Linked DNA regions of Neurospora crassa OR74A. The protein of the gene in region 2 interacts with the protein of the main gene of each other region in a biochemical or structural test. Links are inferred from orthologs where the notes say so. Each region holds a gene or a part of one and is shown on either strand. Other genes may lie near its edges.

Evidence for each region.
Region 1: of the proteins of NCU03947 (region 2) and NCU00687, one has a biochemical effect on the other in vitro, tested with the Saccharomyces cerevisiae proteins (2 studies listed by BioGRID). The link is inferred for Neurospora crassa OR74A from reciprocal best matches to the Saccharomyces cerevisiae genes RSP5 and PAL1.
Region 3: the proteins of NCU03947 (region 2) and NCU03112 form a complex in vitro, tested with the Saccharomyces cerevisiae proteins (2 studies listed by BioGRID, with this or other methods). The link is inferred for Neurospora crassa OR74A from reciprocal best matches to the Saccharomyces cerevisiae genes RSP5 and MCR1.

Annotation. Positions count from the first base shown.
Region 1 is NC_026501.1:7,550,911-7,554,576, forward strand, and holds the start of NCU00687 (hypothetical protein), read right to left. Parts: upstream 2,909-3,666; 5' UTR 1,084-2,908; coding exon 1,056-1,083; intron 606-1,055; coding exon 352-605; intron 235-351; coding exon 1-234. UniProt on the Saccharomyces cerevisiae protein: Involved in the early step of endocytosis.
Region 2 is NC_026506.1:2,205,900-2,209,650, forward strand, and holds the start of NCU03947 (ubiquitin ligase), read left to right. Parts: upstream 1-1,174; 5' UTR 1,175-2,009; coding exon 2,010-2,041; intron 2,042-2,157; coding exon 2,158-2,180; intron 2,181-2,244; coding exon 2,245-2,283; intron 2,284-2,365; coding exon 2,366-2,471; intron 2,472-2,531; coding exon 2,532-2,665; intron 2,666-2,741; coding exon 2,742-3,751. UniProt on the Saccharomyces cerevisiae protein: E3 ubiquitin-protein ligase which accepts ubiquitin from an E2 ubiquitin-conjugating enzyme in the form of a thioester and then directly transfers the ubiquitin to targeted substrates.
Region 3 is NC_026501.1:4,598,916-4,602,666, reverse strand, and holds NCU03112 (NADH-cytochrome b5 reductase 2), read left to right. Parts: upstream 1-1,268; 5' UTR 1,269-1,605; coding exon 1,606-1,665; intron 1,666-1,929; coding exon 1,930-2,332; intron 2,333-2,398; coding exon 2,399-2,967; 3' UTR 2,968-3,399; downstream 3,400-3,751. Other genes in the region: NCU03113 (SH3 domain-containing protein), read left to right, coding at 1-462; NCU03111 (hypothetical protein), read left to right, coding at 3,573-3,614, 3,692-3,751.

The DNA.
Region 1 (3,666 bases), on a different chromosome or scaffold from region 2:
CGGACGCCTCTCTGTTCTTCGCTGCTGCGGGGGAGAGTCGATGTCGATGAGTGTGCCGCTACCTCCGTTTCCACGAGGCTTCCTGGAGCGAACGTCTTCCTCTTGAGAGCGAGAGGGGCGATGAGCGGGAGGAGGTCCTCTGGACTTGGCTACTGGGGGAGGGACAGGTCGGCGGGCGACCGGCGGCGGGGGTGGCTTTGAGCCAGAAGGTCTGTCATCGAGCGTGATGGAAGCCTACAAAGTCAATGTCAGTCAATCGGTACGACATCAATCTGGCTCCATGATACCCCGCAAATGAGGGTTCCTTGTGACTTGTTACAGCCGCAGGTGGAAGGATTGGGGGCAACCTACAAACAGGTCCTCGGCCGTGGCAGACGACCTCTTGTCAAAGCCAGACATTGTGTCGGAAACTGATCGGTTGGTTTGTGCAGTCGGACGAGTGCTGTTGGCAGCTCCAATATCGAGGAAAGGGTTCCGCGAGGTAGGCCTTGGAGGGGGATCGTCGAATGGAGATACTTGAGGTCCTGAAGAGGTGGGAGAGGCGCGGTCACGGTTGCGAAAAGGATTGTTTGAATTGAGCGACAAGCCAGCAGCAGACCGCTGATCTAAATCCCAGGTCAGGGGGAAAACCCAAAGCGTCAGCAAGCCATCAATCAAGGAAGAAAAAGGTGGGTTTAGGGGCAGCGGCACCATGCATGCAAGTGACGCTTGTGATAGGGATATGAAACGGCAATCTCCTCGACATGACACAGCGGACTCAACAGCGGAGCGCACTGATAACCCAGGCAGCGCCTAGGACAGCCAAGAGACCAGCCGAGACCCTCCAATGGAACAGAGATGGACAAAAAAAAACCGGGAAGTGGGAAAAGCGGCAACCTTCACAACATGCCAATGGGTGTGGATCGGCCGTTTTTATTCTGCTGCAATTGAAGGGGGCCGCTAAACAAAGCCATGCAAACGGGGGGCCATGTGTTTGGGAAAGGGGTAGAAGGGGGAGCAGATCGCCCAGGGTCGGGTGCTCTGTGGAAAGATATAAAAGGAAACCAGATACTCACCATTCTGCTCCGACTGGAAAAAAGCCATGGTGGGCTAGCTTGTGATGGTTGGGGGAAGAGGGGGGGGGGGGGGGAGGGAGGGTTGCTGGAATGCAGAGGTGTGCACGTCGTTCGGTTGGTGTTGATGCTGGTGGTTGTTGGATTGCCCGGTTTGTGTGGCCACCAACGCTGGTTTGTAGGTAGGTAGGTCTGAGCTATCTGAGCAGGTGCCGTATGGTGCCGTATCGCTTCCGGATGCGTGCTGCGGGATGCGGACGCGCGGTCTGTGATACACGTCTTTAAAGTGTCTTGCGGTTCTGGGTTGCCGTGCCGTGGGCTCGCGTCATACCAGATAAGAAGCTCGGGTTGCGCACTTGGCTTTGCAAAATGGACGAATTGCCGGGAGGAGGTGATGGATGGTTTGTCCCTGGCCAAGTATAAAAAGAACTGGCAGCCAACACGTCGATCTCAGATGTCCCTTGGAACCTGAATCAGCCAACGGCCGCGGGTTCCGACTGGATGATGAGTCGTGAAGGGCTGTGTTTTGCCACGCAACGCAACGCTGCCACAGCCGGTGTGTGTGTGTTTGTTAATTGGCGCTCGACCTTGAACTCGATCGAACCCGATTGCGCAGGTTCTTGAAGTGGAATGCCGTGAAGGATGGTTCACTACAAATATGCAAGCACTGCTTTCCAAATCGATTGCTGCTGCTCGATCGCGCTTCCTGTTCTGTTGCCGAAGTGGCCGTGGCCTAGCGACACCTTTCAAGCTGAAAAGTCTATCTTTCTCCCTGTTGTTTTCCGACGTCCCTGGGGTTCCGAATCGGTCCCAGTGATGTGACACGGGTGGGCGGTCGGCTTCTTCTTTGAGGCGTGGTTGCGAAAAGCGTATTTGGTTTCGGATCGGCTGACACTGCAAGGTGACAGACGATGGGAGTGCGAGACTTGCTGGGCTCGAGGCTGAGCGGAATCTGGAGCCGGCGGCGCAGGGCTGGGGAGTAGTGGTGGTGTTTGGGATGAATGACGGAGAGAGGGAGCGAAAATAAGAGTAATTAGTTTGGAATGCTTCTTTCTCGTCGACCGGCCAGGATCGATCGCTGTCGCGGGTAATGGTAAGGTGGGTGTAGCAAGGAGGGTCCTGTATTTGTGTACGGCGGGATGTATACGGGGTGGTGCCAGGCCGTGGACGCGATCACGCACAAAGGGAGTGCGAATATCGATCCTTGGTGTGGATGTCCTGTGACAAGCAGTCCGGAGGAGTGCGAACAGAAGGAGAGGAAAAAGGGAGGACCGAGGCGAAGGGATTGTGCTGGCGAGGTCGACTTTGACTTCCCAGCAGTAGTGTCCAGTGCCAGTGGCAGCGTCTTTCGGCGGGCAGATGCGGGCAGAGTGACCGCGAGCGATCCGGAAAAGGAGATTGCAACGGGAATCGACCGACTTCTCTTGGAGAGTCCTGGGGTGGGCAGACGAGGGTTCCCGTGCCGGCTGTTACTTGATAGGCGGAGGCGGTGGGGATGGGCGAGGGGAGCGCAATGAGCAATCCCCAACCGAATTGCCAAAGGGTCTCGCTTCACCCTTTAATGTATCTTATCTTGCCTGTTTGTTTTCTGGATGGAAATGATATCACGGAAAGAGTAAACAACCAGTGTGATGTAGAAGCCGCCTCTGGTGCAAGACCACGAGTAGGTATTAGCTGAGCGCGGCCAGCGCGGTACACAGATCACGGCAATATAAAGAAACGGATGGTCACAGGTCACTTTGCGCAAAGAGCGACAGGTGACCACGGCGGCGCGGGTGGTGACGATGTTTGTTGCGGGGAATTATGGGTTTCTCTTCTTCAGATGTGGAGGAAAAAAGAGAAGAGAAAAAAAAAAGCAAGATGAAGCTACTTTGAACAGGCACAGCTTTGGAGAAAATGACGATCTGTGCAACTCGGACTTCGCTCTGAACGGCGGCAACCGGTTGATCTTTCATGTCAGCTAATATGAGACTAAATGCCCAACTGAAGCATATCTCCAGATTCGTTGTCCCCAAGACGCACCGGGCTCTCATGCCAGGTGCCGTGGTGGCTTCTTTTGCCTGGGCGGCTATACCCCTTTGGGATCATCTCCACGCTTGGCCTGCATGATCCATCTCGCCCTGGCTTCTCCATCAATGCAATGTTCCATCGACGGGCCATCGACGGGAGGCCATCGACACCACTGCACGCCCAGCTGCAAGATGGGCTTTTTTTGGCGGCACTTTTGTCTTGTTGATTTTTCCCGTCCTGTTCTTTTCTCACATGGGCGGCCCGTCTGTCCAAACGACGTTCGGATGGTCTGATGAATGCCACGTGAGTAACATCTGCGTGTTGACATCGGTCCGTCTGCAAGAACAATGTCGTGCTCAGTCCGACTCAATGTTGTCGTTGTATTCCATGGAAGAAAGAGACGGTATGAACCCCAGGTCCCAAGATCCCTAGAGGTAGCGGTCATGGTCAACTCGAGCTCTGAGTGGCCAGCCCCACAACCGCTGCCGGTCGCAATGAAAAAGAAGCACTTGAGCAATAAAACCGAGTTGTGCTTCACGTGGATAAGGTTAGGGCGTTTCCAAACTGGGGATCCCCATCTTGACGAGATCTTGCTGAGCACTCA
Region 2 (3,751 bases):
CGCTTCGTTCAATGATGACAGCCACTAGTGTAGTGTACAAACCTAGTGTACATATGATGGGTACCTCTATGCTTCCATGAACTCCCCATCGTCAAAAGCACCTCAACAAAAAAAGAAACCTCAATTGAAAATCCAGAGATGCAGTAACGCCCCGCAGTTCCGTCGCACGCGAGGGGTATCAAAATGGAAATGACGGGCGTTTATGTCGGTGATGCGCTATTGTTGGAACAGCAGCGTCTCGGTCGGCGGCAACGGGGGTACACTACATGTACTGGGATACGCTAAGTAGCGACCTAACGCCTTTTTGCACCCCGTGCGGTGTATCGTCGTTATGGGATGTAGAGGTGCTGTGCGTTGAATTGTCAAGGTTGAGGTTTGAAGTGTTCACTTTCCTAATTGACTGCCTCTGGAGGTTTCTTCAAAGTTCGGTAGTGGCTTGATATCTGGTAGATCTGCGCAAGATCATCATCATCCCCGATCGTTGGGCTACCTCTTGTGTAGAGTTTTTGGAACAGACAGCTTCTACTACAATCTTGGCGTTTCCTGGAGAGACCTCGGAGCTTGGGGCGGTCGGTGGAGGTGCTTTCCTACCCCTAGTCATGGAAAGGCATTCAGGCCAGCATAGCTACCTATTCTAATTCTCTGTGTCGATGACTGAGCCGTGATCCATGGGATATTTTCCTGACAGGGCATCAACTCCTAAGAAAAGACACGGGACTATGTGATCCATGTACACCAAGGTTGCTCTTTGTGTGCCAATGATGTTGTTGATGTTGATCTCGAGATCTGGATGCCGTGCCAAGCATGGAGTGAATGTGGCCCCCTGGGAGTCTGGGACTCGAATGACCCGACCAACTGCTTAAGAGAAGAAGTCAAGTACCGCACTGTGCGCACCTTCCGCTTCAGTTCTCGCTCTTTGCAGGCTTCTGCTAACTAGTTCCTGGCCTAAAAGTAGTCACTCGTTAATGCGATACCTGAGCTACTAACTGAAAAGTTAAGCTTCTCGCACAGAGCATGCTAGGCCAGCCATACTTTCCCGTTAATGCTGTTGAACCATTATGTCTTGTCACCTCCCCCTGTCTCTTCACCAATGCTAGATCCAACTTGGACTGTCAATTTCTTGGCTTGGGTCGTTGCACCATTGCACCTTTGCAACATCGCAAGACGTCCAGGTTTCTCGGTCGTTTTCCCTCCCATCCTTTGGCTCATCCGTCGGTTGCAACTTAGTGAAGGTCATTGAGCTCTTCACCTGGACCTTCTTGGGGTTGGTCCGTCGAACCCAAGCTCACCCACCCGCCACTTCCAGCAGCTTCACCGCGACAAAACAACGACAGCATTCAACCTCGACACTACTAACTAAAGGTACCCTTACCAGACGAACCTAGACATCCGAGCGAGTTTACACTACCTGCTGGTTGATCCACAGAAGTGGTTTCCTAAGTATCAGACCTGCCTTGCCGACCTTGCTAGTACAGAGATTACTTAGTATTACCAAGCCACAGCCGTCCAACCTTGGCCTCTTGGATTGCTTGGCCTTTCCTTGCAGTTCGCCTTCCGCCGCCGTGACTACCTGACAGCGTAAGATACCCAAAGCGGGGGGGCCGGCTGGCCACACACGCACGAGTTACCAAGAGCAGCACAGCCTCACCACCTACGGGCGCTCAAGAGTCCCTCTAGCTTCCATCTACCACCTACTGCCACCTACAGAATTTCATCCACCCTGCCGCATCCATTCCGTTGCCAGTGACTGCGCGTTCTCGTCAACGTCAGTGTCCATCGCAAGGAGAGTTGGCCCTTTTGTAACAATCATTCAGCCTGCTTGTACCATCGTCGACTTGTCCTCCTTTCATCCCCGCCCCGCCTGCATTCAGCCGCGAGTCCTCGATCCCAAACGAGCGAGAGCGACCGACTACCCGACCCGATTGCGACCAGCCTCTGCTTGGTCCAAGAAACGAGACGAAAACTTAAAGCCCCGCGTGCGAGTTTGTTGACGCGCTCCATCTGCAACAATGACCAGCAGCCGGGACTCGGGGCTGCCGGCGTAAGTTCTCCCACGACTGGACTCTCCATCTACCCATCTTGTCTGCTTTGCGTCGCCCTCAGGGACCGCGGATTATAAGCGAGAGAACAGCCAGCTAACAACCACCACGATTAAAGCCAGCCCAATCTCCGCGTAACAAGTACTCAGCCCCTTTGCGACGAATGTGTCCGATGACCAACCGGTGTACTAACATGCCCCTCTAGTCATCGCCGCCGATGGTCTATACAAGCGAGATGTCTTCAGTATGTTTCTCCCCGTGGCCAGGTGTCATGCATCTTCTAAGCCACTTCCAGGTGGCATATGCTAACCGCATCATCATCATAGGGTTTCCCGACCCGTTCGCCGTCGCTACCATTAACGGTGAGCAGACAAAGACCACCCAGGTCTCCAAGCGTACCCTAAACCCATACTGGAACGAACACTTTGATTTGTAGGTTCGACCTTAACTCAGATTTGACAGCCCAAGGGCCAGCTGGCTAATACAACGTAGCAAAGTGAATGAGGACAGCATTCTGGCTGTCCAGGTGTTCGACCAAAAGAAGTTCAAAAAGAAGGACCAAGGTTTCCTCGGTGTCATCAATGTCCGGATAGGGGACGTAATAGAATTGGCTCCCGATGCGGAAGGTAAGGTTTCACTGCAATTCACATGTGTTTGCAGGTTGACAGCGCGATTTGGGACTGACATGCACCACACCCACAGATCAGATGCTCACGCGGGACCTTAAGAAATCGACCGACAACCTTGTGGTGCACGGCAAACTGATCATAAACCTATCTACTAACCTCACAGCAACTATGAGTCGCCTCGGTCCCCCTCCATCTTCGAGCAGACCATCACTACTCACCCCTCAAAGTTCGGTTATTTCTAACGACAGAGCGAACGAACGTCCTTCATCAGCCATGTCCGGACCTAATGGAACCGCCAATAACATGACTTTGGCAAGCCGACCCGCCAGCCTGGCTGTTTCGTCGTCGTCGACAGCCCCGACCCCCGGGACAAATGGAACAGCCCCAACGAACCCGTCGACCCTCGTTCCGGCGCAAGCCAGGCACCATAGCACGCTTAGCCCCTTCGAAGATTCAATGGGAAGATTGCCAGCTGGCTGGGAACGTCGCGAGGATCATTTGGGGAGGACATATTATGTTGATCATAATTCACGGACCACGAGCTGGAATCGGCCAACTGGCACAGGGGCGGCCGAAAACCGTACCGCCGAAGCCAATACTCAAGTCGAGCGTCAACGGCATCAGAACAGAACACTTCCCGAGGACCGCACTGGCGCCAATTCCCCCACCCTACAGCAGCAGCAAGCTGCCGCCACCGCCAATGCTGCCACTATGATGCATACCGGGGCGACAACCCCCGGAACCGGTGAATTACCTGCTGGTTGGGAGCAGAGGTTTACCCCAGAAGGAAGGCCGTACTTTGTCGACCACAACACGCGCACTACTACCTGGGTCGACCCTCGACGCCAGCAGTACATTCGCATGTACGGTGGCCAGAACAACACGAACGGGACCATTCAACAACAGCCGGTGTCCCAGCTCGGTCCCCTGCCTAGTGGTTGGGAGATGCGGCTCACCAACACGGCTCGCGTCTACTTCGTGGATCACAATACCAAGACAACGACCTGGGATGATCCTCGTCTGCCTTCGTCGCTCGACCAGAACGTACCGCAGTACAAGAGAGACTTCAGGAGGAAGCTCATC
Region 3 (3,751 bases), on a different chromosome or scaffold from region 2:
ACCCACTCGACACCAATCTCAAGCTCCAATACCAATGGGTATGGACACAGCCACTCTGGGTCCGATTACAAGTACCATCAGCCGGTCGTATCAACCTTCTCAACGTCAAGCAAGGACCTCGATCCCTATCCGCAACACCTTTTGGGAACACAGGCTGGCCAAGCTCCACCGCAGGTCGTCCACTATCATGGACAACGGGGTGGCAGTCAAGCGAACACGCCCACGAACTTATTTCATGATGCCGGTTTGATGCGCCGCGGCAGTCAGGACACTGTCGGCAGAAACGAGAGGAGGGGTAGTGAGCAAGGGACGTTGCAGACCTTGCTTGGCGCGAGGCTGGAAAAGACAGCGAAAGAAGCTGCAATAGAAAACCAGAGTATCAGCGAAGAGGCTGAGCCGGAGGTCGCGATGGATCTCAAGCCACAAAAGACAGGGGAAGCGGCAGCGGAAGCGGACAGGTGATGAAGGTGGAATGTGCAGGGGTGGTGGTGATGATGATTGCTATATGCGACACGACGCAATGTCCTGCTGAAAACTGAGGCTGAAAGCGGGCTCAGTCATTTAAAGCGAAGGGAGTATAAGGCTGGAGAGGGAGCGGTGATAATGATCGAATAATCCCCATGTAATGGACGATAGGGAGACTCAGGCTACTGACATGAGCATACTTTATCAGGGAGCGATGTAGAACGGAACATTGCGACTTAATGACGTCCACTTTCTTGCATACTCATCCATCATTCCTGTTCTCGCTCTCTTTGCGCTTTCGTTGGGAGTTTGCATTCTTCTTCTTCCTGTTATTTTCCGTCACCATCTGAATTGGGTAGCAGCGCAATCGAGATAATCAAGGGCTGAGGAGGAGCTAGAAGGGGAGAGGCAGGAGTACGAGGAGCTAAAGTAAGCCGGGATATCACTTATTGTCCAAGCAGTTGTTCTGTGTACAGATTGCAGAGACTGACAGCGTGGTCTGGTCGAACAAAAGGAATTAATACGGTGCTACGGAAGCTATACGTAATGCACAACGCTCAAAAGTCATTCGTCATATTCCCTAGCCACTGCCTTTGGACTCTGAAATTGATGAGTGAGCCAAGGTGCTAGGAGCAGGCGTCAAATCAAGAATCAGTACACTGCATAAAGACTAGGACCTTACTAGTAGTAGCATGTTAATCGAGCCCACCCGAACTGCACCGATATCTCCGCATCCTTTTGTTGGCAGCCTGGGTGGTAAGTACGCAGTATACTGAGAAACCCACCCTGGATATGAGTACACAAAGTGTCAAGATGCGGATTCAGAATAGTAACGGTTGCGGAGTTGGTTGAAGCTGACAAACCCGTTTCTCTCGCCGGCGGGAAAGAATCCGATGACGGCTTTCAACATGAGACTTTCGATCACGCCTGGAGATCGCTGCATGACGTAAGCCCCACCCACCCGAATCAAGCTCCCCACGCTTCCGAACCCGCGATTGAAAAAGGTACGGGGACCCCAAAGGAGGGAGGAGTCAGTGCCTCTATGCATTGCACTGACTGCACTGGGCGTACCTGAACCTCGTCCGATCTTCCCCTCCTTCATCCAATTCCATTCTTGCTTTCCAGACACTGCATGTCAAAATGAGTCTGTTCGTTGCTAGCACCAGATCCGCCTTCCGGGCTGCCGCCCCCATCAAGAGGGTAAGCCACCCCATTCCTTCGTTCGGATTTACTGTTGCTCTGAGAAATGTTGCTGCGTCGAGGTACACAATCCTGCCGCCACGGGCAGTTCTGGTGGTCGTCGGACGCATATACGGCATCATGAATGCGCCTTGAGCAGAATTGGGGCAGACGCACGCGCAGCGCACCATGCGCGACAGCTTCGCGCATCACTTGACACATTGACTCTAAGCACAACCAGCAGCCGTTCTAGAAGTCATCGAACTAACTCCTTTCCTTTCACAGTCTTTCCAGACCCGCCGCTCCTATGCGACCGAGCCTTCCAAGGGTGGCAGCAGCAGCACCATCCTCCTCGGTGCTGCCGCTGTTGGTCTTGCCGGCGCCGGCGCCTACTTTTTCTCCGGCGCTGGTGCCGCCAAGAAGGCTGAGGCCAGCGTTAAGCAGGTGACCGAGAAGATCACCCCCGGCGAGATCAAGAAGGCCTTCGTCGGCGGCGACCAGGGATGGCTCAGCCTCAAGCTCGAGGAGGTTGAGCTGGTCAACCACAACACCAAGCGCCTGCGCTTCAGACTCCCTGAGGACGACATGGTGTCTGGCCTCCATGTTGCCAGCGCCATCCTCACCAAGTTCAAGCCTATCGATGCTGAGAAGGCTGTCCTCAGGCCTTACACTCCCATCAGCGACGAGAGTAAGTATTTTCGTATTGACTCATTGGTTTCCCACGATAGTACGTTGACTAACGTCCGAGCAACAGGTGCCCAGGGCTACATTGACCTCCTGGTCAAGAAGTACGAGGGTGGTCCCATGAGCACCTACCTCCATGACATGGCTCCCGGCCAGCGCCTCGACATCAAGGGCCCTCTTCCCAAGTACCCCTGGGAGGCTAACAAGCACAAGCACATCGCCCTCGTTGCTGGCGGCACCGGTATCACTCCCATGTACCAGCTCATCCGCGCCATCTTCAACAACCCCGATGACAAGACCAAGGTTACTCTCGTCTTCGGCAACGTTAGCGAGGAGGACGTTCTCCTCAAGCACGAGCTCGCCACCATCGAGAACCACTACCCCCAGCGCTTCCGCGCTTTCTACGTCCTCGACAACCCTCCCAAGGAGTGGGCCGGTAACAAGGGCTACATCAACAAGGACCTCCTCAAGACCGTCCTTCCTGAGCCCAAGAACGAGGATATCAAGATCTTCGTCTGCGGCCCACCCGGCATGATGAACTCCATCTCCGGCAACAAGAAGAGCCCCAGGGACCAGGGCGAGCTGACCGGTATCCTCAAGGAGCTCGGCTACTCTCCCGATCAGGTATACAAGTTCTAAGCGACTCAGGACTTGGATGCATCTTGTGTGTTATAATATTACCGTCTTATTTAGCTAGAATAGCGCGGCGTCACTTGAGTTTGCCAGTGTGGGATTGGCTTGGTCTACGATACTCGTGCTTGACGAGCACACGCAGCGCACATCCTGCTGCGTATAGATAGAGGATAATAAAAGGCAACAAAAAGGAAATTAAAAATAATGAAAAGAAAAACAAAAATTCGGACATGAGCTTGTCAAAGCGACAGGATCGGATCATGTCAAACTCTTGCTTTTCTGAAACGATGCTCAGTTTCAGTTGCAGTCGACATCCAAGTGAACACAAAGACTGCGATGGCATCCGTTGTGGCGGTGGTGCCGGCGTGGCTGATACCGACGTGGCTGACAGCCTGCCGGTCTGGTCATTCTGAAGGTGCACGTGGAGACGTGACAGCGTTTCTGCAATTGCCGGCCGGCAAGTTTAGAGCTCCAGCATTTCTTGGCTTGAGCTTCCAATTGATTTCCCATTCTCCATTCCCCGTCCCCCCCCCCGTCGTTCGCTCTAATTCCCACCGAACAAGCACCAAGGCAAAGCAGCTAAACAGGCCGTTTGGCCTGCGCCTGTAATAATGGCAGCGCTTTTGCCCTTCAAGGTGCCCCAAATCAGCGAGGTATGTTTCCTTTTGTTCCATGATTCCTGTGGTCGGCGATGGTCAGACATTGACACGTTACATCATCTATCTCGCAGGCTGATATGTTTGCTTTCCATGAAGCCCACTTCTCCAACCTGTCCACAGGCCACTTTGAG